Lonchura striata: one gene and its partners. The main gene of each other region encodes a partner of the protein of the gene in region 4 in a complex. Links are inferred from orthologs where the notes say so. Each region holds a gene or a part of one and is shown on either strand. Other genes may lie near its edges. The genes, in order: TAF1A, ASDURF, ERCC3 and POLR2E.

Region 1 (7,528 bases), on a different chromosome or scaffold from region 4:
TTCAAAACTCCAAGCATTCTCTTACAAGGCAAAAGGAATGAAAACACATTACCAAGAAAAGCAAACAGAAGAAATGCTTTACAGTACTTACACTTCCAGCCCAAAGCTCAGTGGATTCTCCTATTAGTTTATAATATACATACACCGCTTCTCCCTTCTTAAAATTTACAAAGCGACAATCCGGACCTTTAAAATCCCGCATGGCCTTCCCTCGGCACATTAACACTGTCCAAAGAAAACACGGAGAAGAGTATGACTTTAAAAATAATTTACATGAAAAGTGTCTTTGCTAACTGGCAGTAAACAAGACCTCCTCGCATGCATCGTTTTGCTATTTTCCAGATTGGGTCAAGAGATAACAAAGTAAATTGAAAGTATAACTAAGAAATTAATAAATTAATAAAAATATAGATAAATTGGAAGTATAACTAATAATTTTTTAGCTATAATTAACAAAAACAAACAAGCCAAGTTATAGCTAAAAAAAAAGGCAAGTTTTAGCAGAAAAAGTAAAGCAAGCATTCTAGGCAAGACAAGGGTTTGACAAAGCACTGGAGAGCTACACTTCAGGGGTGAGCTATGAAGCTAATTACTAATGTTAAATCAGAAAGGTGACATCTGTGTCCCAGCGAACTGGTCCTGAAATTATCCCAGAGAACACCCAGAGAGCGGTTTTATCAACGGAGAGCTCTGCGTGGAGGGGGGTGGGGGAAACCAAACACGGAGCCGCGGGGATCTGAAAACTTGGCCGAGCAGAGAGGGACGGCGCGCGTGGGCGTCGCGTTCCCGTTTCCTCGATTGTCCCCAATTTCCGCGACAGAGCCGGCGCAAGGAGGGGGCTCAGGGAAGAGCCTCCGGGAGGCATCTTCGCGCACAGCTCCCTCGCCGGGGCCGCGCCCGCCGCCCCCACTCACTGCTGCACTCGAGGTCGGCGCAGCGCTTGCGCTCGGCGAAGCGGCGGCCCAGGTCGGGCGCGGCGGCGGCGCAGCGCGGGCCCGGCGGCGGCAGCAGCAGCAGCAGCAGCGGCAGGGCGAGCAGCAGCCGGGGCTCCGGCGGCGCGGCTGCGGCCATGGCGGCGAGCGCCGCGGAGGGAGGGAGCCGGGCCGGGAAGGAGGGAGCAGACACGTCAGCAGCGCCGGCGGGAGGGCGATGTGGCGGGGGAGGGACCAGCCCGGCCCCGCCGCCGCTGCCGCGGGAGGAGGGCAGCGCACGGACCCTCCCTCCCTGATCCCCATCCCGGTCCTGAGGAGGCAGGACCCCTAACTCCGGCCACTTTTCCCTCCTCGCAGGCCAGAAAAGAAGGAAGGTCCCGCCCCTTATTTGTGCGGGTTTCTCCAACTGAGGATCGCTGGAGTAACAAGAACAGAAAGGGTGTAGCTGCCGCCCTGTAAGGACGCGACAGATCCGAGCAAGCACTTGGCTGCTCTCCCTCCTGCCCCGCCGAGCAGTTCTTATCTCTGCTGGAGAGGAGCAGCCGCCACTTTGCCGGTGACCTCCGAGAGTTTGAGGTTACACCTGCGGTGCAGCGGGCGGAGGAGTTCATTCAGCCGCGATCCCACTGGGGAAAGTGCCGGGTTTCACAGCGGGCAGCCGAAAGCGCAGCATTCCTATCCTTGCCCTTCTGTAGCTGCAGCTTCCACTTGCTGGTACATTTTAAGTGTTGAGTGTTTGCAAGCCGAAAGATGTGCTACTCACACTACTTACCGTCGCCTTTTCTTCACATCCAGCACCTTAATATTGCCTTAGAGATCTAAAATGGCAAAATGACAGCAGAAGTCACAATGCAGATGAACCAAACTTCTCTTTTCAACACCTGTGTTATTTGTTCAGCACAAGAGCCTGAGTAGACAAAGAGAAAAAAAGATGCAGGTAAGAAAGAACAGGTGACATAAGAGAATACTCTTGCTGGTCAATCAAATGACCACATTTTTTCTATTTTTTTCTACTTTCCAGAGCAAATTCTGAAGCTGCTCCCAAAATGAATGAATTGGTAATCAGAACTGATAGTCAAAGTTTAGTGTTATTTTTTTGTGGTTTTTTTTTTTTTTTTTTTTTTTGTTTTGTTTTGTTTTGTTTTGTTTTGTTTTGTTTTTTGTTTGTTTGGTTTTTTTTGTTTGGTTTTTTTTTTGTTTTTTTTGTGATTTTCAGAACAGCTGAGGGTTTTTTCCAAGAGCTTTTTAGGAGCTCTTTTAAATGCTACATCTAAAGACTTAGCAATCGCGGTTGCTGATTGCATGTGCTCCTCTTGCATCCTCATGCCTATTGATTTTCACTCCAGACTCTCATTTCCACAGTCTCATTGTACAAGGCCTTAGATCCAAGTTTAGTTACTACTGTGTAATCTCTGAAAAATATGTGTTTCATTTTCAGTCCCCATCTAGAATAGCTTAATATTTTAATCACAAAACGAAAAAGTGTCAAGTGTTGATACCTCTTTGCCCAGCATCCCATGGACACCCTGGCATTTCTTACAGTCCTGTGTATCCCCAGGACCCACAGGCTACACAAATGCAATGGTTCATTCACCCAGTGCTCATGTCTGCTCTCCAGGCCTAGTGCAGTATAGTGGTTATAGCTCTCCTGCAATTTTGTTGACGTTTCTGTGCTTCACATCTTAAAAAATGAGGTGATCCCTATTTGACATCACTGATATTGGCTGATTAAAAGCTCTAAGAAAGCCTAACTTAGAAAATCTAGACGTTTGTCACAATTTACAATATGGAAGTAAATTCATTCAAGTCACATTATACGATAATTGTATGAGTGAAAGATAAGCATTCTTTCCTCAACATTAATATTTCATGTTGTATAATGCCCAGAGTATTAGGTCCAATTTCTTGTGAAGAAAGAGCTGTTATTTCCCATCAATACAATTTATCAAACTTATCTTTATTAAAGATAAAAAAAGGTAATTGTGTCTGTGGTTGCAAAGACAAGGGCAAGAGGGAGATGTGAAGAAAAACAAAATCACATACTTCTTGTATAAGTCACTGCCTTTATTATACAATAATGAGCAGCTTGCAGTTGATACATATATACAAGTTTACCATTGCAACTGTCAAGTATTTCCTACAATATCAAGTATTTCAGGGTAATAAGGTAACCACTTATTAACATACGTAGCTTTCCTCAATGTGTGAAAGAAAAGAAAAATATTTCACTTAGTTCAATTAAGATATTTCAAGCAAAATTTCCTTCCAGTCTTCAACATCAATCTTGGATCTAGGATCCTTGGACCAATCTTGGAAACATGTATTCCGCCACTGTACATGAGGTATCTAACATTCACCTACTCTTAAAAAGCAGTTCTCCTACCTCTTCTGCACTAAAATATCTACTAAAGTAGCTGATACCCATTAACAAGATCAGTTGGCTAAGTTTACCTAAGGATCAGGAAACACATATGTATAACACAGGCAAATAAAAATAACAAGCCAAAAGTAAATGTTCTTGCATGCAAACATGAGAACTTTTACCAAAAAATGGGGATAAGTTGGATTCTGAAATTAGAATACTGAGCTAACAGAAGATCAGGGGTGTTGTAGGAAATGGCATCAAACTTGGGCAACACCAGTGATCAGTGAGGCACTGACACAAGGTACAAATTATAAAGAACAGTAAAAAAAAAAATGGCACTGATAAACATGTGGTGTTAAGTAACATTTTATTATTGTCAATCAGGTAAGTTAATTATCCATTAACAATACTTATGAACTGAAATGCTGGCCTTTATTGGAAGAACACAGGATTAAAAATAAAGAAAAAGCAAAGAGAAATTTCTGTTTTCCCAAAGTTTATTTATTAAATACCATATTAAGGTATGATATTGAGGTTTAAGTGTTTAAATGCTGCACACAACACAACTGTTCTGCCTTGCGCTGTTCCCAACACTGGTTATTGATCACAGCTGAACCAAAACACTGCATCACATGAACCTTTAATCTGAGCCAGTTTATTATTTACTCACTCTCCCATGCCAGGGCAGTTTAGGAAAAAGAAAAACAAAAAAAAAAACAACAACTCTGTGAGTACTCTTATGCAGTAAACTGGACTTTATACACATCAAAACAGTCCAAGGCAAACTCAGTTCCAAAGTGGCTAAAAGAAACAAGTTCCAGCACAGATTTGTATAAACCAGATGCTGCGGCTAAGGCAGCCGGACTCCCAAAATCCAGCAGGAGCACAGGCAGTATCATTGCTTTACAGTGCACAGGATATTGATTCGGAATATTTTCCTTCCGTAGAACGTTATGACTTACAAAGGAACGGGAAAGTAGGAAAGAGTAACAGGAGGAGCTCGCTAATTTAATTTTTGGAGCAACCAGCGCATTAGCCACGGCTTTTCACGCTGATTGCGGCAGATATAGAAATAAACACCCCTCTGCCACCCCGCGCTCCACCCCGGTCCCGCAGCCCTCACGGCGCCACGGGCCGGGGGAAGCGGGAAACGCCGCGCATGCGCCGCCCGTCCCGCCCCTCACGGGCTGGCGCATGCGCAGGGGCCGCTCCCGCGCCGCGCTGCCGGGCGCGATCTCCCGGCCCCGGCCGAGCCCCGCACGGGGCGGTGCGAGCCCGGCTGCCCGCGCCGCCATGGACAGCTTCCTGGAGGAGGATGCGGAGGCGGTGGTGGTGGACGGGAAGAGAAGGAGGAAGAGGAGGAGGACTCCCGCCGCTCAGGCGGCCCTGCACGCGTCCCTGCACCTGCCCTTCCTGCCGCCACCGCCGGGTAAGGGCGGAGCGTTTGTGCGTTCCCTTCGTGAGCGCCTTCCTGCCGCCCTGGGAGTGGTTTTAGCTTCTCTCCGCCAAGTCGTCTGCTAGGGCCGGGAAGGAGGTTCGAAATAACCTCTTCGCAGTGGTTATTTTGTGAGGGCAGGAGGGCCCATGGTGGAGGGAGGGGATCCTGCCCCTCTGCTCAGCCCCGCTGAGGCACATCTGGAGTGCTGTGCCCGCTCCTCAGTGCAGGAGAAACGTGGAGCTCCTCGACAGAGTCCATTGGAGGACACCAAGGATGATTTGGGGTCTGGAGCATCTCTTATGAGGAGAGACTGAGGGAGCTGGGCCTCTTTAGTCTGGAGAAGACTGAGAGGGGAATTCATTAGTGCATATAAATATCTTAAAGGCAGGTGCTAAGGGGATAATGCCACACTTTTCAGTGGTGCCCAGCAGCAGGACACGGTGCTGTGGCCATAAACTAAAGCACAAGAATTTTCACCTCATCATAAGGGAGATCTTTACATTGATGGTGGCAGAGCACTGTAATAACTGCCCAGGGAGTTTGTGGAGTCTCCTTCTCTGGAGACTTTTTCAGATCACACCTGGACACCTTCCTGTGTCACCTGCTCCAGATGACTCTGCCTTGGCAGGTGGTTAGACTGGATAATCTCCAGAAATCCCTTCTAACCCTGATGGTTCTGTGATTACCTGACTTAGCCATTGTTTGAGTTATTCACCTGCCTACAGCATCCTGGTAGGAGTGTCTTTATGAGCTCTCCATGTGCCTTGCAGGTGGCTTTTCATGGATGAGGATGAGCATTGTTGTAGGGTCATACAGCCGTGAGCTTTAAACACACTTCATGGGAATGAAGTTTCAGTTTCATGCTGGTTTCAGTATAAATTGGACTACTAGTGATGTAAAAAGGCCAAGGGGCCTCTTTGCAGCCTTGTACTAAAATGAGAATAATTCTCTGCATATAACTTTGTGGGAAATGTTTAGCCTTTGGTACTGGAATGGTCTGTTTGTTTGTGTGCATGCAAATCTGCAGCACCATGGCATCACCAATTTAGGTGGTGATTAATAAGTGAAGAAAGTAGTCCCCAAAATATGACAAAATGTACTGTGAAGTTACCAAAGCACCATGGCTCCCTGATTCTGGTAGGGCAGTAGTGTGACATAAGTGGCTATTCACTGTTTCAAATGAATGGGAATTTCAAGCACAGCTATGTACTGCTTATGGAAAATGCCATTCCATATCATGTTTCCAGCTTGTCCCATAGTCCTGCTCCCCTGTGGATTAACAGATGTGTTTATCTTCAAAACAGTATAACTTAAGATGACTCTCTATGTAGTATCCATGCAAGAAAGATGCTGAAATGGAGAGCATGTGGCTGTCTGAATAAGGGCTGTGATTGCTGTGGGCTCTGTTGATTTTTTTTTTTTTTTGGTTGGTTTTTTTTTTTTCTTGTTTATTTAGTGTCTTCCAATGAACACAAGTTGAACTTCAAGAAGAGCAAGGAAGCGTGTTTAAGTTACATTCAGGATGCCTTGCTCCAAAAACAGTGGAAGAGGGCTGCAGAGTTTCTGACCTGCTATGTTGAGTCACTAGAGAAGGACTATTCCAGAGAGCGCATTGGTGCATCAGAGGTGAGCCCATGTTCCTGATCTGAGTTCTTTTGCAGTTGAAAAAATACTTGCAAAGCAGCATCCATATACTTCAGGACCAACAGCTGTCTTAATTAGCTAATCATAGGCTTGTTTTTTTTTTATAGATCCTTGACACAACAGAAAAAGATTTGGCTTGTTATAAGTTCACTCCATCAGCAGTGTGGCTATGAAAAGTCAAAGTAGCTCTCTAAAATAGGAAAGCAGTAAATGTGTTTGGTTCTGGCATGTCATCAGTCGGAATCTGTTTGCAAGTTGGTGGCTTATTTAGGTTGTTACCAGCTCTTCCAGTAGCTGCAAAACTCCTTGCAGGTGTTGAGATAGAATCAGGTGGAAGGAAAAGCATCAGAGCTTTTAAATAAATGGAATACTTGAGTATGGCTAGCTTGCAGACCTTGGAAACAAAAGCGTGTAATTGGGGAGCTACACTGGAAATAATCTTTGCTCTTAAGTTCAAAGAGTTGTGTATACTTGGTGTTTTAGTGGGGTCATATCACAGAAGAACATAATTTTTCAGTGAGGGAAGGAGGAACCCTCAGGCATGCAGTTTTCTTAAGCTCTCCTACAGTGCTGCATTTAGAATGAGCAATTCTGAACCACCCACTGAATGACTCTAAAAGTCCTACTGGATGAGTAGGTAGGTTACTACAGCAGTAGATAATGCTTTGTAGTATATTTTATTTGCAGTTCAAATGTACATTTTGCATGTCCTACAGTAACTGTAAGTTTAGTAAGACTGTATATGTGATATCTGTTGCCATTTTTGTACTAAGGCTGGTTTTGATATTCTTTCTCCCCATTAATAGATGATTTGGAGAATAGGAACTGAAATTTTGTGGCATCATTCCCAGAGCAGTGTGAAAGAGTTCAGCTGTTTCATGGAACAGATGAAAACTTTAGGAGTAAAAAGGTACTTGAAGGTGAGTGTACTTAAAGCAGCCCTGATGATTTTTCACTTTTACTTGAACACTTGAATATTAATTTCCAAATCTCTTTTGAAATGTACTACTGACATCAGTGTCAAAAAAACTCAAACCCAACATTTGAATTACCAATTCCATGATATTCAAAGGTCATTTTATACCTAACCTTATCTCATTTGTCTGTATGTTTGATCACAGATGTATGTTCTCAGTCCTTAGAAGTGCT
Region 2 (8,010 bases), on a different chromosome or scaffold from region 4:
ACCTTTCAAATCAGCTACAAATAAGCTTTTAAACATTAACTATTTGAGATACTTGAACACTGCAAACTTACTTTTGCACTGAGACAGCATTTCTGTCCGGTCTGCAAGGAAGAATATGTTGCTATTGGGTTGCTGTTTATAAACTTTCTGTAAAACAAAACCCACACTGTATTAAGTCAAAGCAGCAGATTCTGGAACCACACTGCAGCAGAAGCTGCTGTGGGTCCAAAGAGACACTCCTGGTATAAAAGTGAAGGTGTAAGTTCTGCCCTGTGAACACCAGCATTCTAATGCTGTACTATCAAAAGCATTTAATGCTCAGCCTAAGACAATTTTGAATTTCTCTTTTCCTCATCCACAAGGGATCACATTCTATTTTAAACAAAAGCATAGAAAAAGTAAGAATACCTCATGAATCCATGTAATAAACTCAAAAATTTTAATGAAATAACTCAAAACATAAAAAAGCCCCAAGTATACATGATCAAATAATTTGCAGGACAAATTATTCTGAGCACAGCAGACCACATGTTTATTAAAATCCAGATTACAACAAATTAAAGACAGCATGCTCTGATTTTGTTGTCCTTCTTGTCTTTATGTTTTAATTTCTCTGCTGAAATTAAATAGTTAAAAGCAAATTTGTAAATCCTTACCCGGTTCTTCTTCAAATTAGAAAGCTCATCAACTACAACCTTCTGCTCTTTAATCTGAAAGCCAAAAGATGCATTTGATTTTAATGATAAAGACAAGACATCATATCACAATCCCAGTGGTGAGCATGTCTACTGATATTTTAAGACAGCAACATGCATGTATAGCTGCTGTTCTCCACATGAATCAATGAAGACAAAGTAAGTATAAAAATTACATACTTAATTTCTCTAGAAACAGGCTATGTTGCATATATTGGTATTTCTCCTCCCCTCAAAAGCCTCTGGGAAGCCAGAGTAGCTACAGCTATTTATAATCAGAGAGCACATTTTCCCCCCCTCGGAAGAGAACATGTACACAACTAATAAAACATCAAATAACTTTTAAAAATTAGCATAATATCAAGAATACACTTCATAATGATAGGTATGCTCCAGATTCAAAAGGAAATTAATGAAAATACAAACACTCTAGAACTGTATTAGGAGCAATGGGAGCCTTTTTATTGCTCTAGATTTCTATATTAACTTCCTTAGTGGGATTTACCACTCTGTTCTGCACTGACAGATGTGGCAGATATTCCCATTTTCTTTTACAATGGCAGCTGTGAACTAAAGAGTTCACAGCTAAAGAGTAATCAGAAGAAGTTGCAAATGCCAAAAATTGAAACAAAATCTGTTCAGAGGGCACAATGCTTTTTGTTAGAAGCAAACATGGGTTTCTCTGCTCTTCCTTTGTGTCTCCTGGAACTGGTACAACAGTAGCAAGCTGCCACGGAGTGAGGTCAGCCAAACTGTATGGCACACTGAAAGTTACAACTTTTCCAGCAGCTACATCAATCTCTGGTATCTACAACACCAACAAGGCAAAGCAGCAGAGCCATCCTCTGCCAGACTAAACCAGCCACTTAGGCACAACAGAAGTGAAAACCTGTAGCTCTTTGATGTCCCAGCTTTGTAGCTTCCAAGCAACTAAAAGCATCACTGTCTATACATGGCCACACAGAAGTAATTTATTTTAATATAATCACATAATATTAAGGGGTTGCAAAGGACTTTAAAGATCATCTAGACCCAACCTGCTTCCTGCCATGGGTACATCCCACTAGACCTGGCTGCTCCAGGCCTTATCCACCCTGGCCTTGAACACTTCCAGGGTTGGGGCATCCACAGCTTCTCGGGGCAAAATGTGTAAGTGCCTCACCATTCTCACAGCAAAAAATTTCTGCCGAGTATCTAACCCAAAGTTGCCCTCTTTCAATTTGTACACATTACTCCTTGTCTTACCACTACAGTTCCTGACAAAAAGCCCCTTCTCTGGCTTCCCTGTAGTCTCTATTGGAATACAGGTAAATTGATATGAGGTTTTTTTGGAGTGAAAGTTCCACAGGGCTTGGCAGATTGCATACTGAACAAAGCTGTGGGGACAAGGAAGGAAGGAACAGATAAATTAGGAGCATCTGCCTCTATGGCTGAAATATCTTCAGACATTTTGGGCAGATAATGATGAACAAGGATAAAGATGAAGCCATTTGAGAAGCGGGTGAGGATACTTGATTTGTCCAGCTTGGAGGAGACTAAGGGGAGAGCTCACAGCAGTCTACAAGTTCCTTAGGTGGGGAAGTGCAGAGGAAGACACTGGTCTCTTCTCACTGGTAACCAGTGACAGTACCACAGAGAACGGCCTGGAGCAGGGTCAGGGATGTTTAGACTGGATACAAGGAAAAGATTCTTCACCCAGAGGGTGATTAGGCATTGAACTCCCCAGGGAAAGTGGTCTCAGCACCAGCATGACAGAGTTCAAACAGCCTTTGGATAACGTGCTCAGGCCCTCGGTGTGATTCTTGGGGTGTTCTCCGCAGCGCCAGAGTTAGTTAGACTCGACCACTAGACGTCTCTTGAAACTCATGATATTCTGTGAAAAAACCCTCAGTGCGCCTCACTTGCCATTTCAAGCTCAATTTGGAGCAGTAAGATCCAAAATACCAATCCGACGAGCGAGCTATTAGCGAGGCAACGCGGGCTCGCTAAATGCAGGCCGCTCTCGGGGCCTGAGCAACCCCGGGCACAGGAGCCCCGGTCCCAGACGGCACCCTCCCTCCTCTTCCTCACGCTGCTCGCACCCGAGGCAGCAGGCTCCAGGAGCCCCCGCGCCTCGGCCCGGACCCCGGCACCGGGCCCCGCGGGGCCGCCTCCCCTCACCCGCCGGCTCAGTTCCTCCTTGTGGCGCAGCGCCGCGCTCTCCCCATCCTCCTGCCGCGCCGGGCGGCCCGACATGGCCCCGACCGCGCCGACAGCCGCACTGCCCACGCAGCCTGCGCAGCTGCCGCCCCGGGGCGCGCGCGCGCACAGCGCCACCAATCAGCAGGCGCGGCAGAGCACGCGCCTGACGGAACACCAATCAGCAGGCGCGGCAGAGCGCGCGCCTGACGGGACACCAATCAGCAGGCGCGGCAGAGCACGCGCCTGACGGGACACCAATCAGCAGGCGCGGCAGAGCACGCGCGGGGCGCGGGCCGGCCGGCGCGAGTGCTGAGGGAGCTCGCGCCCCCGGCCGGGCGGAGCCGGGAGTGCGGCGGCCGCGCCGTGCCGCGCCGTGCCGCGCCGTGCCGCGCCGTGCCGCGCCGTGCCGTGCCGTGCCCACGGAGCTCCTGGGAGCCGGTCCGGGAGGGCATCGGCACAGGCCCAAGGTGGAGAAGACGCTTGGAATGAGGCTTGGCAGCTGTGCTCCTTGTGCAGCGTGTCGGCTTGGTGTGGTGTGAACCCGGGCTACTGTCGGCAGCGGGCTCTCAAACCCCTTTAAGCGGTTTGCTTAAAGGTATTCCAGAAGAGATATGAATTTACACTATTTACAGACATTAGGATCGTATGTTTCATTATGTTCATTATTAGCATATGTTTCTACAAGAAAGAGAAGGACTTTTTAGAGGGTCATGTAGTGACAGGACAAGGGGGAATGGACTAAAACTGGCAGAGGGCAGATTTAGGTTAGATACTGGATGGATGGAAATTGCTTACACGGGGGATGTGAGACACACAGTTGCCCAGAGAACCTGTGGCAGCTCCATCCTTGCAAGTGTTCAAGGCCAGGTTGCACAGGACTCTGAGACACCTGGTCTAGTCCCTGCCCATTGCAGGGGATTGAAATGAGATAATCTTTGAAGTCCTTTCCAACCCAAAGCATTCCAGGATTCTATGACTTTATTATTATACAAGATGGATGTTTAAGACCGTCCACCTAAGGTGATCTTAACGTTTCTTTGTCTCTTCCATTCTGCTATAGATATGTCACAGTGATGCATATGTCTACGTGTCTTAATAAATACATCATTGTCTCATTTTAATACCTTTCCTTCTTTTTAAACATTGTATATTATTCTAAACACTCAAGAGTAATCCAAACTTACAGACTGCTACCGATTGCTCAGTTATAGGATTTTATGAGATTTCTATCCCACTTGTGGTCCTTGTGGTACTGACTGCAGTGCAAATATAGTTCAAATTTTCATGAACCATTTGAAATATTTGCAACTGTAGTAAGAGAGTGTTGCCTTTATTTTCTTTAATCTCACATAATCATATATATTATATATTTTGGTAACTTAGAGTTTGTGAGCAAGATTGCACCTTGGTTGTATCCATGAGCTTGGTTGGAATGTCTGTAATGTTGATCAAAATTTTTGGAAGCCGTATAGGAAGAACAAGGATTTTGGCTCCTAGCAGAAGGATGAAGAAAGACAATTTGGCTATAGGAATATTTGTCAATATACTAACTTGCAAAAGTTGTGCTTATTTGCTTTTAACAGAAAGAGAAACTGAGGTTACACTTGTCTGAAAGGTCATTCCTGCTCTTCCCCCCACCTCTGAGCACACACTTGTGCCTCCAGCCCTGCCTCACCACGGCTGGGTGTGGGGCTGTGTGAGGGACAGGTGAGGGACCTGATCTGTTTTTCTCAGCAGTGCACAGTGCTCTGTGATTCCAGCAGTCCCAAAGCAGAGCAGCTGAAGCTGCTGGGGAGTTGTTACCCAGGGGGTGGAATGGTTCTGGGGCTTGTCCTTTGACTTCTATAAGAAATTCACATATCTGGGTCACATAGATCAGTTTTGGTGCTATTGCTCAGTGTGCTTTGTAGTTTGTCACTGGTTGTTCTAGTGAGTAATGTGTTTAATCTGAGTTACTCCCAACCCTCTGCTGCCCAAGTTTTATTTGTTGTTCATGTGTTACAAAGGTTGATGATCAAGTAACACAGTAGTCAAAGTGTAATTTCTGCACTGATTATCCTTTTTATGTTCAGTAATAAATGCTGTTAATGTTTATTAATCAAAACCTGATCACTCAGTGTTATTGACTGTTTCAGAAGAGTGATGATAATGGTTTTGAGGCATAATAGCAAATGTGGAATGGTTTTAATGATTCTTCTACTGATATGGAGTGGGCTTTTGACAGTTCCTTTTAAAATGAATGAATTCATGTCACAAGATCACTCCTGAAATTACAGTCAAACCCACTATAAGACCCGCTGTGTTTGCAAGTCAGCAAAGGGAAATGTTGGCACCTTTGCACTCCCTGCGCAGAGCAGTATTTTCTCCATTCAAGTTTGTTTCAGGGCTGCTGCAGTTCTGGTGTTGCAATGTGCCTGCACTGTTACTCCTGAGAGCTGGGGAGGGCACTTAGAGCTCATCTGGCTGACAGCTAAGCAGGAAATGTCATTCAGTGATACATCTCTGGTCATTCTGCTTGTGTCTGTGCACTTGTGCCAACTTCGGTGCTCTAAACTATTTTTCTTTTACTAGCATAAAACTGTTTCTGGAGGTTAACAATGCCCGATACAATGTTAATAAAGTATCAAATAATATTTCAGTCTTTTAAAGCCCTCACCTTTCAGTATCTGGCATCTTTAAAAATATTTTTTAAATAACAGAAATTACCCAACAAGTCATTTAAACAGCTAAAAACCAGAAGTAGTTACTGATGCCAGAAAATCTCTGAAGTTGCAGTGACCTGTTAGCAAATGCATGGCCAAAACAGTAACCTTTAAATAACCAAGCTCAAGCTCCAAAAGGCTGCTGCTAAAACCATGCTGAAGAGGTGAGGCCATCCTTGTGATAACACTGTCAAGTCTTGAAGACCTCTGTTCATGATGTTGACAGTATATTTGTGTCAGAGGATTTTCCAGCTGTGAGGCACAGGGTAGGACTGATACTGCCTTGGAGGCTTAGCAGCCTCAAAGTTTCCCTGGTTTTTGCTGTGGGCTGGAAATCCTCATGCACTCAATTCTGTATCTCTCAGCTGATGCTTGGGAACATGTTAAGCCACCATAATCAATTGTGGGTTCAACTCTGAGTGGTTTATGAGGTTCACCTGTAAGTGATTGTACTCTGAGGAAACTTGTCATGCTTTAGAAGAACCAGTCACAGAGGTGCTTGGAGGGGAATAGGATAATTGTAGCTCTAATGTTGGCCACAAGAGAGCAAGCTGAAGCTGTGCTGGCTGCTCAGACAGTCAAGAGTGGGGCCAGCCATGTAAGACAGGTGGATGAAGTCTCTTAGGAGGAGAGAGCAGCACAGTCAGAGGATATTGCTTTTATATAGGTTTTTTTCTGTTTTGGAGCATCCTCAGTTCTGACACTAGCTTATTTTGTATTCAGATACTGTATCACCATAATCCAAATAAGTAGATTCTGATTTGTAACATCAAGCTGTGTTAATTTCACAGTTGAACCTGTATTTTAATAATTTGCTAATTTATACCAGTCTAAGAAAACGAAAATAGTTGAAAATAGTTGGGTTTGCTTTATGGTAAACCTTTTGCTAATTCTTCTGAGACATCAGGATTTGAAGGAAGTTAGGTTAACTTACACACCCGGTTATCTGGAATCTAGGCAAAGTTGTAGTTTGTTTCCTTAGGTTAAGTACCTAGATTGTCAATGACACAAGGAACCTTGCAAAACCTATAATCATTCTACTTTAAAAGTCCTGTCACCACAAATAAAAGAAGAAGTCTGAGCACTTTTACGGTGTTGAAGTCAGTTTTTTTAGCACTTAACTTCTGATACACTGTCAAAGCAATCTTAGAACTCATTTGCACAAAAAATCTATGTAGTTCACAAGTATTAAATTATTCATTTTATGATTAGAAGCAGAATTTCATCACTTTCACATGGAAGATTTTAAGGCTGTTGTCAAAGTAGCTGAGAACTATCATCAGTCTCTCATTAGTTTTTGACAATCTGATTGCATCTCTCAAAGCTTCTGAAAGTACTGAACCAAACAACTTATTTGTAAAATACTCCCAGCAGTCTTTCATCTGTGATTTAAGTATGAGTGGATTTAAAAATAGACGTTTCCAAGTTCACTCTGTTCTACAGTATAAAACTGAAGTAGCTCTAATGAGAGCCTTTCTCAAGGTCTTATGTTGCTGTAGCTGAGAAGACAGTTTGACGTTTAATTTTCATAATTTTTCCTTCCTTAGTGCAGAACAATTTGTTGTGCACTTTGTTAGACTTTAAGAGAGTTAAGTTCATGTTAGTGCTAGTTTCACTTAGAAATGCAGAACTATGAGATTTGGGGTTGTCTGTTGCAGGGCAGTCCCTCACGTACTCTGAATAACCAATGCACAGGTTTGCTGCAGTAACTACTTTGAATATGGGATCAGAGTTCCAGATACACATTTTGAGCAGTGGAATGTTCAGGGACCTTAAAAAAATCAAATGCTGTGTCTTACAAAACAAATATTTTGTTTGCAGTATGAAGATGGAAGCCTGGTGCCTGGATGCTGGAAGCTCTTCTGCTGGTGCCACCAAAGAGCAGGCATATGAGAGGCTTGGAACTGCTCAGGAACTTTGGATAAACAGATGCCTCATTTGTCTTGCATTGAGCATCTTGATATGAAATCAGATTAGTGCTAATATTTCTGCCTAATGAGAAAAGATAACTGCAGCAAAAACCCTCTGAGTGAAGAGTCAAGAAGTCACTCAAGTGAAGACTTACTGCCCAGTAAGTGAAGTTGAGCAAGGAAGTCAGGAGAAGACTGGAGTGATAATTATGGGCTTGCTTCTCTTTCCTGTTGGGAGTGCCCCCATGAGAGTAAGTACTGTGTTTAATACTACATACAACTGATATTTTCTGGAAGATAAAACCCAGAGATTAGATTATTTTAGAGGAGTAAGCAGGCCTGAGCAGGATGGGCTGAAGGTATGGAAGAGGCAGCTTGCTTTTGCTCCCATGATATGGGTCTCCTGGAATGAGGGACTTGGTAATTTTGGCTGAGATAGGTTACAGCCTCATAAAGCACGTTCCATAGGCACACAACAGATAGCTGAGTGAGAGCTTGGGCAGAACAGAACATGTCTGAGCA
Region 3 (7,651 bases), on a different chromosome or scaffold from region 4:
GGACAGCCAAACAGAATACATCAGCTAACGTACTGAATACTTCCAAAAGCTGTAAAAATAATACCTGAGAGCTGTTACACTCAGCTGGCAGCTGTGAGACTCCAGAGCTCCTCAGAGCACTCACACACAGCTGGGCATGGGAGGGTTTCCTGCCACAAGAGCTGAAGAAGAAGCCATTTACCTGTTATGTTTCAGAACCAGCTTCACCTTCCCATAGCTGACCGTGCACAGCTACAAAGAGAGCAATCATTAGGAACATACAAAAGACAGATTCCACGTTTAGGACCAAACACTGCAAAGGTTTTAAGTCTTTGTGGGGAAGCACCTTACCACAAAACATTTACTTGTTATGCTCATAGAGCAAACCTGAAAAGGTATTTTCAGAAGATGCTCACATCATCTGATGAGGGACAACAGGCACAGATACTCAATTTTTTATATCTAACGTCAAAGTGTTTCCAAGACTGTGAGGACACACTTGCAGGATAAGGCAGGCTGTCTCACAGTGCCCCACTGTTACAGGCTGCTTCCCACATTCTGTTTTCTTTCAAAGCAAATCTGAGGAAACTTTCCCCATGTACGATTGTACTGGCTGAAATTATCTACACAGACACTTACATGTACTTTTTATAAATCCCACAAAGGCTATATTATGAAAATAGTATGTGTGCAGCAATATTATATGCAAAAAGACAGAAAAAGAATAATGCTCTCTTGAAACAATGACAGAAAAATAAAACATTTAAAATGATTATTAAAAAATAATAAATCAATTAGGCAGAGGCAGCAGGAAAGGAATTCCTTAGTAGAAAGAGATATATTTCCAATGCAATGTCAGTAAAATAGCCTTACCTTGATAAACTGAATGATTCCATCTGGGACACCAGTCTTGCTCAGTTTCTGCAAATACTCAGTGATATCACTTGTCTGCAAGCCCACACTCACAGCAGCATACAGGGAGTAAGCAGTCAGCTTGTACTCATGAATGTGGGTGGGTCTGCACACAGGCTCAGCAATAGCAACCAGAAAGTCCTGTGCATATTTGTAAACTGGAGAAAAGGCTTCCAAAAATATATGGCCATCAGGAGCCTACAGAAATAAACAAATGCTGAAGGCACAACAGTGTTAGCTGAACTGAATCTCATAATGAATTTACAAGAAAATGAATAAACATGTAACTTTTGTCTTCTGAAAATGGTCCAGGAATTGATTTGTCCATGTTCCTTCCATGGGACTATGAATAAACCACACCCAAATCAATAAAGTTTTTCCAGACTGACATGCTGGAGTATTCCTTCTTTTTTAATGCTGAAGAAATTGCTTGAGTAGAGGCAAGCTTCCAGCCCCATTTCCCTGGAACAACAAAACTCCTAGTTCATTCTATGTGGAAGGAATGAATGAATGAATGAATGAATGAATGAATGAATGAATGAATGAATGAATGAATGAATGAATGAATGAAAGGCAGCACTTGGGTGTCCCAGCCCTAGGTGCTGTACAGCACTTGGTGACAGGCACCGTTCAGACACTGGCTGGGAAACCACCTCTTCACACCATGCTGCACCACTTGCTAGACCTCGGGCAAGTTTACTGACGTCCCTTTCAAAGGGCAGAGAAAACAAATGGCACCAGTTACAGAAACTGAGGCCAGCCTGTCTTAAAGCCGTTTCACCCAACATACAAACACTGTGTCACTGCAGTGATAGATCCCTCTCGTGTCATCAGCCAGCGCGCTGTTTTACAGCCCACCCCGACAATCCGGCCGAGCTGCTGCCTGCCCTGCCCGGTCCGCAGCACGCCCGGGACAGCGGGGACCCGCCTGGAGGCTGCTGAGGCTGGAGCAACTCCCTGGGCACCGCCGTGGCTCCCGTCCGGCTGTCCCCGCACGGCCCCGAACCGCATCAAACGCCGCTCCCAGGCGCGCCCGAGGCTCTCCACCCGCCCTGCGCCCCCCCCGCAGCAGGCCCGGCCTCCCCCCGGGAGAACGGCCCCGGCCTCCCCCGGGAGAACGGCCCCGGCTTCCCCCCGGGAGAACGGCCCCGGCCTCCCCCGGGAGAACGGCCCCGGCCCCTCCCCGGGAGAACGGCCCCGGCTTCCCCCCGGGAGAACGGCCCCGGCTTCCCCCGGGAGAACGGCCCCGGCTTCCCCCCGGGAGAACGGCCCCGGCCCCTCCCCGGGAGAACGGCCCCGGCTTCCCCCCGGGAGAACGGCCCCGGCTTCCCCACGGGAGAACGGCCCCGGCTTCCCCCCGGGAGAACGGCCCCGGCCCCTCCCCGGGAGAACGGCCCCGGCTTCCCCCGGGAGAACGGCCCCGGCCCCTCCCCGGGAGAACGGCCCCGGCTTCCCCCCGGGAGAACGGCCCCGGCCCCTCCCCGGGAGAACGGCCCCGGCTTCCCCACGGGAGAACGGCCCCGGCCCGGCCCCGGCCCCTCCCCGGGAGAACGGCCCCGGCCCCTCCCCGGGAGAACGGCCCCGGCTTCCCCCCGGGAGAACGGCCCCGGCTTCCCCACGGGAGAACGGCCCCGGCCCCTCCCCGGGAGAACGGCCCCGGCTTCCCACCCGGGAGAACGGCCCCGGCCCCTCCCCGGGAGAACGGCCCCCCGGGCCGGCCGTGCCCCGCACGCACCACCCAGAGCGGCCGCGAGCTGTGGTCGGCCTTCAGGGGCATCTGCAGCCGGTAGTCCTTGGCGCCGTACTCGTCCACCTTGGTGCCGCTCTCCTCCACCTGCTTCCCCGCCGCCGACGGCACCGCCTCCTGCGGCTCCTTCCCGGCACCTTCGTCCTCATCGTCTTCGTCGTCATCGTAATGGCGCTTCTTGGACTTCTTCTTATCTGGGAGCAGAGCGGGAGCTGTGACGAGCGCCCCAGGTGCCCCCGCCCGGCCCGGCCCGCGCCGCTCCCCGGCCCCGCGCACCGCGCTCCTTCCTGCCCATGGCCGCCGCGCCGCGCCGCGCCCGCCCGCGCGTCACTTCCGCGGGGCGGCGCCGCCAGGGGAGGAGACACCACCGTCCCTCCGTTCGGGCCGCCCCCGCCGCGGGGAGGCGTGCGGGCGGGCGCGGGGCGGGGCCTCGGACACGGGGGGCAGCCACACCCCGGGGCAGAGGGAAATGAGGAAAAAGAATTTAAAATTAACAAAATAAATTGAACTTCCGGAAAGCGCACCGTAAATAACAATAAAAAAGCCAACTCGGAATTGAAATACGAGAGTGACATTGCGCAGCGTTCTGAAGTACAGAATTCTTAAAAGAGAAATCACACTGTTGTCCCTACAGAGTGTTTTAATATATTTCTAAGTACAATTCGTGTCTGATTTTGGAAATACAAATACATTTCGAATGGTTAAAAACAAAAATTAAAAAAATATTTTGAACATCAGCCAGCTGAAAATATATTTATCTAGTAAATCATCTCTCAAAGCTTTTATATATTTAATTATTCTAACTAAACATAGTACCCTTAAAAAACAAGTTCATAAAAATGTAGAAATGAAATTGTGGAATAAGATTACTGGGATATATACACACACATTCAATGCATACACAGAATTACAAGGTGGGGTTGGTTGGTTGTTTTTAAGTTTGGAAGGCTGTTAGACAGTGGAACCAGCAAGCAATGCCCAACTCCTGAGTTCCTCAACCATCAGCTAATTTTTAAATTGTTTTTATCTTTTTTTATACATAAGATATTCCATGTAAAGCAGCAACAGCAGTGCAGTTACTGGCAGCAACATCTCAAAAGTAATAAAAAACCCCATACATCCAGACAGTAGTACATTGCACACACACGTGATTCTCATACATCCATCGACAATTGGTCAGAGTATTAAATCAGTGTACAAATTAAATATTTCCAAAAATGTGCAAAAAAGTCAATGTTGATAGAAAAAAACACCTTTGTGTACATACATTACAAACAGTGCCCAGCATTCAACTGAGAGTAAAAACATTTACAGTGAGAAACTGATAGATTAAATAGAGAATTTAATGGCTACATAAAAATGTACATTAGATAAAGAGTAAATTTACAAATTTTTATTCATAGCCTCATGAAAACTAAAATCCTACGTTCCAATTAATCTAAGTCTCCTCCACATATTTACATTATACAACTCCTGTGAGGTCTGAGATGACAGACACTATGCTTTAACAAACCATTCCAATTTTAGGGTGACACCACCTTTTTTTACTGGTATTAACAAGAAACAAGCACTAGGGAACTGACAATCTAATGGCTGTTCAGAAAAGAAAATGCAATCCTTGTTTTTATATCCACATTATATAAACCTCTGGGGAAAAAAGATAATCTATTTTTGAATAAAAAGCACAAAAAAACTCTGATGTATTTCCTATGACTATCCACTCACAAGCTGGAATATCCTTTTTCTTATTTCTCAGCAGAAGACCCTGACCTCCTGACCTGTGGACTCAGCATGAGGGCTGAACTATGAGATACAATTTTTATGCCATTTAATCCAGGTCCTCTCCCTTTAAAATAAGTTTCTGACATCTAAGTCCTAGCCAAGGTGTGACTGCTCTGAAACATGAGAAATATAATTTCCTCCATCCTATTTACCTCTCAACTCCGTACACATATATATTGCTAGAGGAAACCCAAATATTGAACCAGCAAAATGGGAGCTGCAGCATCCTGGGTTCAAGTGATGGGCTCCCTGGTCTAAAGCTGGACACACACCTTACTCAGGAGCTATCATGGGCCACCACCTATGCAGGACTTAAGCTTTGCCAACTAGAAGGAAAAAGAAATGGTGCGGGCCACGTGGGGGGATATAAAATGAGAAAAGAGCTCCTTTGTTCATTATCACAGATTTTGATTCAAAAACCTTGGCTTGATAGCAAACCTGTCTGACCCCTCAGTGCACATTAGTGGCTCCTCCTGAAGGCAGCACTCACACCCAAGTAACTGTGGGTGACATCTTGCTGTCACATGAAGAGGACTGGCCGCTTCCCACACCTTTGGAACATTGTCACTATGGTGGCACAAAACAGATCAGGTCACAATTTTATCTTCATGGTGCTCCTGAAATGTCCCAAGGCTCAAACCCAGCTACAAAAGCTACCAGGTTTTAGTCATCAAGCTTATGCAGTAATTTTAGAATGACAACAGTAAGATTAAATTAGAAAGAGCTTTTAAAAAGAAGACTCTTCATTTTAATACAAGCATGAGTTTTGCATTTCAAACAGCAACTATAAACACCCACATGTCTGAAATATGGGCAGTGTCTATCACTTTTTACTAGTACCTGCTTTACTCAGTCAGCAACAGCTTACTGGTAGATACACACTATAAGAGACATGAAACATCACTTTTGGCTATATGTATATGGAATAGAAAAGCTTTGGTAATTGTATGTGATTCTACACTGCAGACTTGTCATTGCCACAAGACAGCAAATTACCAGCAAGAAGAAATTACACTGGCGGCAATACTTTTGCTTTTCCAGAAACACCATAGGGATTTACATTCAAGCACATACATTATACTTTTCTATATGTGTGACACAGTCTTTCAAGATTAAAAAAGTAAGAAATTGGTTATAAATAACTGTAGATCTGACCAATTTGCTCAAGTCTCTGAAGCTGCAGTTAGACATTGTTCTATGCTGTCCAAAAGAATGGCTTGCTGTACTGCACTGTACCTATAGGTGCTCCAAGGCTTTCAGTCAAGACAACAGCAGGATTAGGATTATCCAAAAGGCACAGGAAAGAAATCTGTTGGTTTGCTTGACAGATCATATTCCTGTGCACTGAAAGTAAACAGCTTTTAATACAGTACCACACTTACAAAAGTACCAACTTTGCTTTCAAGCCCAGTAAGAAACTCTGCTGCAGAGTCTGATACCCAGAGCCAGGAAGCCAAATTCTGACAATCCAGTTACTTAGGTGCATGCAGACAAATCATCTTTCTGGCATGTACGTTGGTGTACAATATCCAGAATGCAAATACAAAACGTGGATTAGCACAGGAAGCCAAAACTCACTTTTAAATTCTGAATTTGAATGACTGCTACAGATTATAACTCCTGCACACTTTTCAATGCAGTTAGGCAAGCTCTGCTTTGAGCACTTTGAAAAAACCCATTCTCTAAGGCAGCTTTGCTGACATGAAATTGTATGACATATTTCAATATGGTGTTCCAACATGAACAAAATTAAGGCATACAGAGAAAAAGGCACTAGCTAAAAAAACCCCAAACTTTTCATTTTATTTTACTGAAACGACTATTTAGCTACAAATTGAATTGGGAATCAAGTTAGAAGGTTTAATACTATATTTAAACTGTCAAGAAAAGAAGTCTGTAGATTTAACCATGCAATTATTACATCCATACCCTTTTGGGTTCTTCAATGGATATTTCTATCACCCAAGTAAAAAATAAGCAACTTTCACCAACACAACACAAGTCAAACCTTGAGTCATGCTCTAACAGGGTGGTTAGTTACACCATTAAAACCGTACCACAGAAGTAGCTTTTGTCACTTATTATGTGCAACAGACAGAATACTAAAAATCATTAGATAAGTAAGACTTTTGAAAATATACATACTCACCGTGAATTTGAACCCTTATTTCTTGAGAGTACAGCTTCATTGTGGCATTTACAGAAAAGCAAACCAGCCCTGCAGCAGTAGTGCTTTCACTGGCATTTTTTAATAACTGGATTCAACAATTAAGACCAATTTTTGGTCTAAAATGCTGGTGGCTTTTTAAGTGAGATACAATAAGTTGTGAGTAGGGATCTTGGCTCTGCAATCCTCCTCCAATGGAGTTTAAAGCATGAAGTTCCATGCAACCTCACAAATTCTAGAATGAGGGGTCATTCACCATCACTCCAGGAATCCCTGTAAGTGTTTAACAAACCCTGTATACAGCTTGTTTTACTACATTACCCCACTGGGGGTAATAGCCAACCTCTTCGTAAAAGTCTGATTTAGCTACATAATTATTTCTAGCTCAAATTATTTCTAGCTCAAAAAATTTATTCTAAGTTATTTAAGTCAGTAGAGAAATTCTCCTTAGGATGAAAAACTAGCTCAAGCCTAGCCTTGGTTATATTTGTAAAATTTTACTAGAATCACTCAAACTGGAAAATGTCAACTTCATTTAAGAAGTACAGTCTTTACATTGGCAGCTTTCTGACATGTCAAAGACATGATGAAAAATGTATTCTGAAAGTCACTTTCTTCCTGGCTCCAAAATGCTGACCGTTGTCATGACTGAATGCCATTGTTTTTTAGAAAAGGCACAAAAGCAGCAAACTTGATTGTTCAGTAATTAAAAATCACAACTAGGAAGTGATATTGCAATATACATGATCCAGCACTGTCTCACAGAAAGATCACATTATAAGAAAACTAGATTCTAAAAATTTTCAAGCTTCAGAGAGTGCAGTTTCTCTTTAGAATAGTATATTTAAATGTTATGAATGCTACAGATAAACCTGGTTACATTTTCCCTTTAATGTCCTTTTTTGGTAATGTTAAATTTCCTTACCTTTTCAGTAATCACTGACCACTACAGGGTTTTATATACATTTTCACCTTGGTTTTGGTACCTTCTTAGTCTGAAATCATAATTTCATTACATGATCTTGAAAATTGCCTACATAAACTATTAGGTTCTACATGAAACT
Region 4 (7,101 bases):
TGTGGCAGGAGCTGACCCCTGACACCCCGAGGTCACACACCTGCCCTGGTACCACACAAGTAGGCTCAGTTTAAGGCTACTCCGGTCCCTGAATTTTGTTTTGGGGGCCTGTCCTTACCCCCTTCCCTAGCTGGCACCAGGCTAGGCTCAATCCCTGCAGTCGGGGCCACGTTTCACCTCCTTACCTCAAAGTGATCACCAAAGATGGGGGAGCCAGCGGTGCCCCCCAAAGCCCAGCTGCTGCTCCGGGGGCTCCTGCTCTCCCCCAGCTCTGCTTCTCTTGACCCCAGCAGCCTTCCCCGGGCGCAGGCAGAGCCAGGCTTCCCCTCTCCACACCTTCCCCTATTTAAAGCACTGCTTGCTTGAGGCTGAATTCCCAGCAATGAGGGAAAAAGACGCCGGGAAAACCCAACTCAAAGAGGTTTAAACTCAGGAATAGCGAGGGGGAATTCCCTGCTGGGCACCCTCTGCTGTCACCGGAGCCTTACCTGGTGGCTTTGACCTTAACTTTAAAATATATGCAATCTTCCCTCCCTGGTCTCTGGAAAGACAGAGACCACCTTCAAGGAATCCCTTTCTTGCCCCAGTCCCGTGTTTTGTCAGGGTTAATAATATGTATTGTTACCTTTTAACTAAATTATTCTGCAGTTGTCCTACTGATTGTATTTTTAATGAGTCCCTGTTTTCTTCCCTGACACCTTTGTGTTGGCACTTTTTAATCTGCTTGTTGTTTGCCCTTGTTTCTATGTATATTTATAATTAAGTTGTACATACTGTAAAGAGATTTTTTAGAATATGTGCCTTGGACTAATAATTCCTGAATTTTCTACTTGCCTCAGAAAGATAATTTTTCATTCTGCTCAGTAAAAATGGAACAGAAGCCACATGTGAGATTTCTGTAACTCTCAGCTCTGTCTCTTGGTCTATCCACCTTGCCCCAGGAGCCCAGCTGGAGCTCGGATCAGGAATCCCTGGGCCAGCATCCTGCTGGCAGCTGGACTTTGTATTTCCCGTGTCACCAAATGGGTGACACTGGGGGCTGTTGTCCCAAGGCTCCCTCTCTCCCTGGGAGAAGCCACTGCTCATTGAGAGGAGGATCCTGTCTGGATCCGGCCTTGGATGAGGCAGCTCCCTCATGGCTTGGCTGGAAAAACACAGATAAAGGCGCCTCTGTTCCAGTGTGTTCCCCCAGCAGGAACTGCCACAGCTCTGGGATGTCTCATCCAGGCACTGCTGCTCCTGTTACCTCATGGAAGGAGGGCTGGGGTGACTCTCAGTGATCAGGATCCTCCCAGCATCCCTGATGTGCTGGGCTGGAAGCTCTGCAGGGGTGCCAGACCCTGGGATTTTTTCCTGGGGACAGACTCCCTGAGGGGGCTGTGGATGTGACAGGGAGAGGCAGCACTTGCCAGGCCCTGGGAGGAGCTGCAGCAGCAATTCCTGCACGGCAGAACCTGAGCTGTCCCTGCCCAGGATGGGACACCAGGGCTTGGCTGGGCACGGCCATGGCTTCACAATCACCAAGACGCTGCCCCGAGGAGGAGGAGGATGATCCTGCTTACTGTGGTCAGACATGTCCCTGGCTGCAGGGGATATTTTGCCGTGTCCCAACACGCCTAGATTCTATTCTGCAGGAATTTCTCCTGGGCAGGGCTTGTACCACTGCTGGACCCATCCCCTCTGCTGCCCTGTCCTACCAGGAGGATTCCTGGAGCCAGGAGAGATCTAAGGGGGAACAAATCTTCCCCAGCTCTGCCTTTGCCCAGGAGCCCCTTGGGAGCACGCAGCATGCTGGATTTACGATTTACACTCCCTCCTCTACACTGAGGATTATCCCTGCTCGGCTCAGGAGTTGCATAAGGTCTTGGCTTGCCAGCAAACTCCAGGTCATCAGCAGGAGCTGACAACTCCTGGCCAGCAAACTCCAGGTCATCAGCAGGAGCTGACAACTCCTGGCCAGCAAACTCCAGGTCAGCAGGAGCGGCGCAGCAGCCCCATCCCAGGTTGGGAACACAGCAGCTCGTTCCTAATGCCTTTATTGCAAAGGGACTCGTTACTGCCAGGGGGCTCCGGCTGCTCCTGCCCACAGCGGCCGTGGGCCCAGAGCTTCTGTCCAGCAGTTGCACGCCTCGGGTCAGGGCTGCCCCACCAGCAGCTGGATTGGAGGCAGCCCGTCATGGGGCTGGAGGAGGCTCCGTGGGCAGCAGGGTCGGGGCGGGCAGGGGGACAGCGGAGCAGAGCTACAGGTAGGCAGGCAGGTCCTTCTCGATCACCTGCGGGGAAGAGGGGAACGTTGTACCCCCAGAACATCCCCGGCCTTTCCCTCCTCCCCAGCAGCTGCACTTACATAGGGATCTTCCATGGGGCTGTACCTCTTCACCACTTGACCTTCCCGGTTAATGAGGAACTGTAGGAATGAAGCAACCCCTGGTGAGCGAGTCCAGGGAGCTGATGGGGGTGTGGCAGCTGTAGCCCCCACAGATTCACTTCCCCCCTCAGCTGTGCTCTGGGCAGGGCAGGGGTTCCCAAGGGTCTCTAGACACAGGAACCCCTGAGGATACTCCTGCCCTGACACCTGGAGTACCAGCACAGAGCAGAGCCCAGCGTGAGGCTCCCTCCTACATCAGGGACCCCCCTCAGATCCTCAGAGGAGGCAACCAAAACTACAAGCGTCCTACCTTGGTGAAGTTCCATTTTATTGCACTAAGAGAGAAAGAAACAGGAGTGAGTTTTGGGCAGAAAAGCCCTTCCTTGTGCCCAGCCAGGCCCTGAGCCAAGCCCTCCCTGCTGGCTGCAGGTCCCCAGGGCTGTACTTCCCACACTCACTTGCCCAGAGTGCCTCGCCCTTTGGGCTGCTCCTTCATCCACTTCCAGAGGGGGTGAGCATCATCCCCGTTGACATCGATCTTGCTGTACATGTCGAACTTCACCCCGTAGTTCTCAGCAAATGCCTTGATCTGAGCGTTGTCCCCGGGCTCCTGAGGGGCCGCACCAGGACCGTGAGGCTCCCCGAGCCATCCCAAAGCTCCCAAGGAACCCGAGCCCCCCGTACCTGCTTCCCAAACTGGTTGCAAGGAAAGCCCAGGATGCGTAAACCCCTCTCAGCGTATCGGGCGTGCAAGTCGACAAGCTGAGTGTAGTTTACGGCGGTTTTGCCTCACTTGGAGGCTACGTTGGTGATGATACACACGTCTCCCCTGCAGAGGAGGGGGATGAGCTGCCCTTCCCCGCAGGGCACAGGTCCCTCACCCTCTCAGGAGAGGCGTGCGGGTTACGCAAGAGCCGCTGTGGCTCAACCTCGCCCGGCGCGGCCCCGGCCCCTCCGTCCTACCGATATTTTTCCAAGGACACGTCGTTGCCGTCGATGTCGAGGGCGTGAAAGTCGTAGATAGCCTTGGCCGAGCGCCAGTCATCCGCCTGGGCACACTGCGGGGCGGGCGCGTCACTGCGGAGCTCCGCGCCGGCCCCGCCACCGCCGCTGCCCCCGGGGGACCCTCGGAGCCGAGCCGCGGTCCCGGAACGGGCCGAGCCCCCGCCGCCCGCCCGGGCGGCCCGCGGGAGAGACCCGGGGCCAGCCGCGGTCCCCGGGCGGACCAGCCCCGCTCCCCGGGCGGGCAGAGCCTCGGTACCCGGGCCCGGCCGCTCCCCCGGGCCCGGCCGCTCCCCCGGGCCCCCGCACTCACCATGCTCCGCACCGGTCCCGGTCCCAGCCCTGGTCCCAGCGCCGCTCCCGCCGCCGCCGCCGCCCGCGCGCAGCACAGCACGCCCCGCACCGCGCTGGCCCAGCCCATCCCTCACAAACCCCGCCCCTTTCGGGCATATCAGCCAATCGGCACGCATAGAGGCGGCCTCGGCGGGATGATGGATGGAAAGCTGACCAATAGGAGGGCAGGGCGGGCGGGGTGGCCGCAGGGGTGTTGATCGGGACAGACCACGAGGGCGGGGGGCAAGGACGGAGCAAAGGGCGGGGTGTGGAGCAGGTGCCGCGGCTGCCGGGCGGCGATTCCCTCCCGACCCGGCCGCGGGTTCCGAACAGAGCCGCAGCCACCCAGAGACCCACGCTGAGAGCAGCAGAGAGATTTCTGTTCCCTCCGGAGCCAGCGGAGGGGGGCAGCTGGCGGTGGACTACATCTCCCAGGAGGCGCCGCGGCTGAGGCCCCCCGCGCGCGCGGGGGTAGGCGGCAGCGCGGGCAGCCCGCGGGGGCCTCGGCGGGCAAGATGGACGACGAGGAGGAGACGTACCGGCTGTGGAAGATCCGCAAGACCATCATGCAGGTCCGGGAACGGCGGCGCCGGGAGGGCCCAGCCTGGCGGTGGGGAGTTCCGGCGGCGCTCTGGGGCCGCAGGGTGGAGGTGTGGGACGCGGAGGCCGGTTCGCAGTGCCGGTTCTCGGTTGCTGAGGCCGGCGCTGCTCCCGCAGCTCTGCCACGACCGCGGGTACCTGGTGACCCAGGACGAGCTGGATCAGACGCTGGAGGAGTTCAAGGCGCAGTTCGGCGACAAACCCAGCGAGGGACGTCCCCGTCGCACCGACCTGACCGTGCTGGTGGCTCACAACGATGATCCCACCGACCAGATGTTCGTGTTCTTCCCCGGTGAGCAGCGCCCGCCCGGGCGGGTCCGGTGAGCCCGGGCCTGGCTGAGCCCGCAGGGGAGATTCAGAGCACAGGGGTGACCCGGGTCTGGCTGAGCCCTCAGGGGACATTCAGAGCACAGGGGTGACCCGGGTCTGGCTGAGCCCCCAGGGGAGATTCGGAGCACAGGGGTGACCCGGGTCTGGCTGAGCCCTCAGGGGAGATTCGGAGCACAGGGGTGACCCGGGTCTGGCTGAGCCCTCCTGCCGCGGACTCTTGGTGACCCCGGCTCTGGCTCTTTCCTCAGAGGAGCCCAAGGTGGGCATCAAGACCATCAAGATGTACTGCCAGCGCATGCAGGAGGAGAACATCACCCGGGCACTGATCGTGGTGCAGCAGGGAATGACCCCCTCGGCCAAGCAGGTCTGTGGGGACAGCACCGTGTCCCACTCAGCAGCTGGGAAGGTTTTCCTTGTCTGTTCCTTAGCCTTGCTGCGGGTAAATGAAAGCCCTGAATTGGCCTCCAGAGAAAAGCTTTTGCTGGAACCCGTTGTACTGAGCACAGGTTCTTTTTTAGCACCCAACTGTGTTTATCCAGAGCAGCTGGTCCTGGTGGCAGTGGCACAGCTGAGGGCCCACGGGCAGTCAGGAGGTGGGGGAGGGAAAAAGAGATGTTTCCCTGTTCCAGGAGCTCAGGGGCTTACCCAGGAGCAGCTCTGAGCACTGCCAGAGCCACCTCTGAAAAGTCTTTTTACTGCCAGGGCTGCCCCAGCCACCTCTAAAAGGGCTTTTTCCTTCCAGTCCCTGGTTGACATGGCTCCCAAATACATCCTGGAGCAGTTCCTGCAGCAGGAGCTTCTCATCAACATCACGGAGCACGAGGTGAGCGGTGGGAGGATGGTCCCTCCCTCGTGCTGGCTGCGTTCCTGCTGCTCCCAGACTCCTCCTCCTGCTCCCTGGCTGGGCTGAGGGACACACTTGTCCTTTTCCCCCTCCCAAACACTTGCTGCCTCACCTCACTCAGTCTCTCTGGTGTTTGCAGCTGGTGCCAGAGCACGTGGTTATGACAAAGGAGGAGGTAACGGAGCTGCTGGCCCGATAGTATCCTTTGAGTGTCCCCTTGCTGTCCCTCCATCCTGTGATGAAATTCGGGCTGAAAACCCCTCCTCCTGCCACGGTTCATTTCTGGTTTGTGAGCTGCCAGCAGTCCAGAGCTTCTCCTTGACTCCCAGCACAGCAAGCTGAGGGAGAACCAGCTGCCCAGGATCCAGGCTGGGGACCCCGTGGCCCGGTACTTCGGGATAAAGCGTGGCCAGGTGAGAGGAGCAGGCTGAGGCAGCAGCTTCCTGTGGTGGGACAGGGAGGGGATGATCCTGGAGGGCATTTTGGAGCAGAACAAGTGTCTCCTTCTCCTCCTCCTCCTGTTGTGAGCTCCGTGTCTGCCTTGCAGGTAGTGAAGATCATCAGGCCCAGCGAGACGGCGGGCAGGTACATCACCTACAGACTGGTGCAGTGACACAGTGGGTAAGGATGAGGGGACCCTCAGCTCAGGGGGGCTTTGGGCAGTGCCAGGGATTGTTCCAAGGTCAGTGTGAAGCAGCTGCTTCCAGGGAAATGTCTCAGAGTTTTAAATGGCTCACGGAGGGAGCTGTTGGGGAGAGCAGGGCAAGGCTCCCCTGCCACCTGTGCCTCTGCTCAGGCTGTGCCCGTTGGGATTTGGGGTGTTCAGAGGGACCTGGGGCAGGAGGTGATTCCCATCCCTCCTTCTCTTCCAGGTGTGAGGAGCTGGGTGGCTCCCAGCAGCAGTTCATGGACGCTCGGAGATTCCTGAATTTAGGGAATGCCAAGGAAATCAAATCCTCTTCCCTCTCTGCAGCCCCGTCACTGGGCCTCATTCCACATCTTGGACTTCGTGGTGACCCTTCAGTCCCATCCAGGACTCAGCCATGGGAGGAAATGAGTGGGAAGGGCTTTTCCTTCCCTGTTTTATGGGCTTTTGTTTGAAATAAAGGTTTGTACCCTCAGTGCCGCAGCGTTGCTCAGCCTCTCCCTGTGGCAAAGCCTCGAGACTCTGCAAGTTCCCATCATTTTCATTGCGTTTGGAATCTCTTCCTGCCAGGATTCTGCATCGTGGCTGGGCTCTGCAGAGCCTTTAGGAGCTGCCCTGGGCAGTTTGGAAGCTGCAGTTCAGACTCATCCTCATTCCTTCCCTGATCTCCTGCCCTGTCCCCTGGTTTGGGACCCCGGTGTTCACACGCTGCCATGGAGAGTTGCTCATCACCCCCAGCTGCACTCATTTGAATCCCAGGAGCCTGGGGGGCTTTAAACTTCACTTGTTGTGGCAGAAACACTTGGATTTGGCCTCTTGTGGCAGGGGGAGCCTGGAAGAGCCTGATCCTCAGGACAAACACGGGTCAGAACACGCTGGTTTTATTGTTTTTTTGGGAAGTTTATCAATGTGAACACAGCAAGGCAGCATTGTGCAGCAGCACAAGCCTGTCAGGACAAACATGGAATCGACACAACC

The links.
Region 1: POLR2E (region 4) and TAF1A share a complex: the UniProt entries of both Homo sapiens proteins name them as parts of the pol I pre-initiation complex. The link is inferred for Lonchura striata from reciprocal best matches to the Homo sapiens genes POLR2E and TAF1A.
Region 2: POLR2E (region 4) and ASDURF share a complex: the UniProt entries of both Homo sapiens proteins name them as parts of the PAQosome complex. The link is inferred for Lonchura striata from reciprocal best matches to the Homo sapiens genes POLR2E and ASDURF.
Region 3: POLR2E (region 4) and ERCC3 share a complex: the UniProt entries of both Homo sapiens proteins name them as parts of the TBP-based Pol II pre-initiation complex. The link is inferred for Lonchura striata from reciprocal best matches to the Homo sapiens genes POLR2E and ERCC3.

What each region holds. Positions count from the first base shown.
Region 1 is NC_134605.1:7,871,122-7,878,649, forward strand, and holds the start of TAF1A (TATA box-binding protein-associated factor RNA polymerase I subunit A), read left to right. Parts: upstream 1-4,517; 5' UTR 4,518-4,590; coding exon 4,591-4,726; intron 4,727-6,191; coding exon 6,192-6,361; intron 6,362-7,185; coding exon 7,186-7,299; intron 7,300-7,528. Other genes in the region: MIA3 (transport and Golgi organization protein 1 homolog), read right to left, coding at 92-225, 915-1,071. UniProt on the Homo sapiens protein: Component of the transcription factor SL1/TIF-IB complex, which is involved in the assembly of the PIC (pre-initiation complex) during RNA polymerase I-dependent transcription.
Region 2 is NC_134610.1:30,857,967-30,865,976, forward strand, and holds the start of ASDURF (ASDURF protein), read right to left. Parts: upstream 3,005-8,010; 5' UTR 2,931-3,004; coding exon 2,856-2,930; intron 711-2,855; coding exon 657-710; intron 148-656; coding exon 72-147; intron 1-71.
Region 3 is NC_134610.1:14,403,509-14,411,159, forward strand, and holds the start of ERCC3 (general transcription and DNA repair factor IIH helicase/translocase subunit XPB), read right to left. Parts: upstream 3,007-7,651; 5' UTR 2,934-3,006; coding exon 2,915-2,933; intron 2,833-2,914; coding exon 2,627-2,832; intron 1,090-2,626; coding exon 853-1,089; intron 232-852; coding exon 182-231; intron 1-181. UniProt on the Homo sapiens protein: ATP-dependent 3'-5' DNA helicase/translocase. Binds dsDNA rather than ssDNA, unzipping it in a translocase rather than classical helicase activity. Component of the general transcription and DNA repair factor IIH (TFIIH) core complex.
Region 4 is NC_134630.1:6,510,647-6,517,747, forward strand, and holds POLR2E (DNA-directed RNA polymerases I, II, and III subunit RPABC1), read left to right. Parts: upstream 1-4,148; 5' UTR 4,149-4,218; coding exon 4,219-4,275; intron 4,276-4,420; coding exon 4,421-4,595; intron 4,596-4,881; coding exon 4,882-4,997; intron 4,998-5,375; coding exon 5,376-5,456; intron 5,457-5,616; coding exon 5,617-5,675; intron 5,676-5,811; coding exon 5,812-5,890; intron 5,891-6,024; coding exon 6,025-6,090; 3' UTR 6,091-6,098; intron 6,099-6,349; exon of another isoform or gene 6,350-6,450; 3' UTR 6,451-6,598; downstream 6,599-7,101. UniProt on the Homo sapiens protein: DNA-dependent RNA polymerase catalyzes the transcription of DNA into RNA using the four ribonucleoside triphosphates as substrates.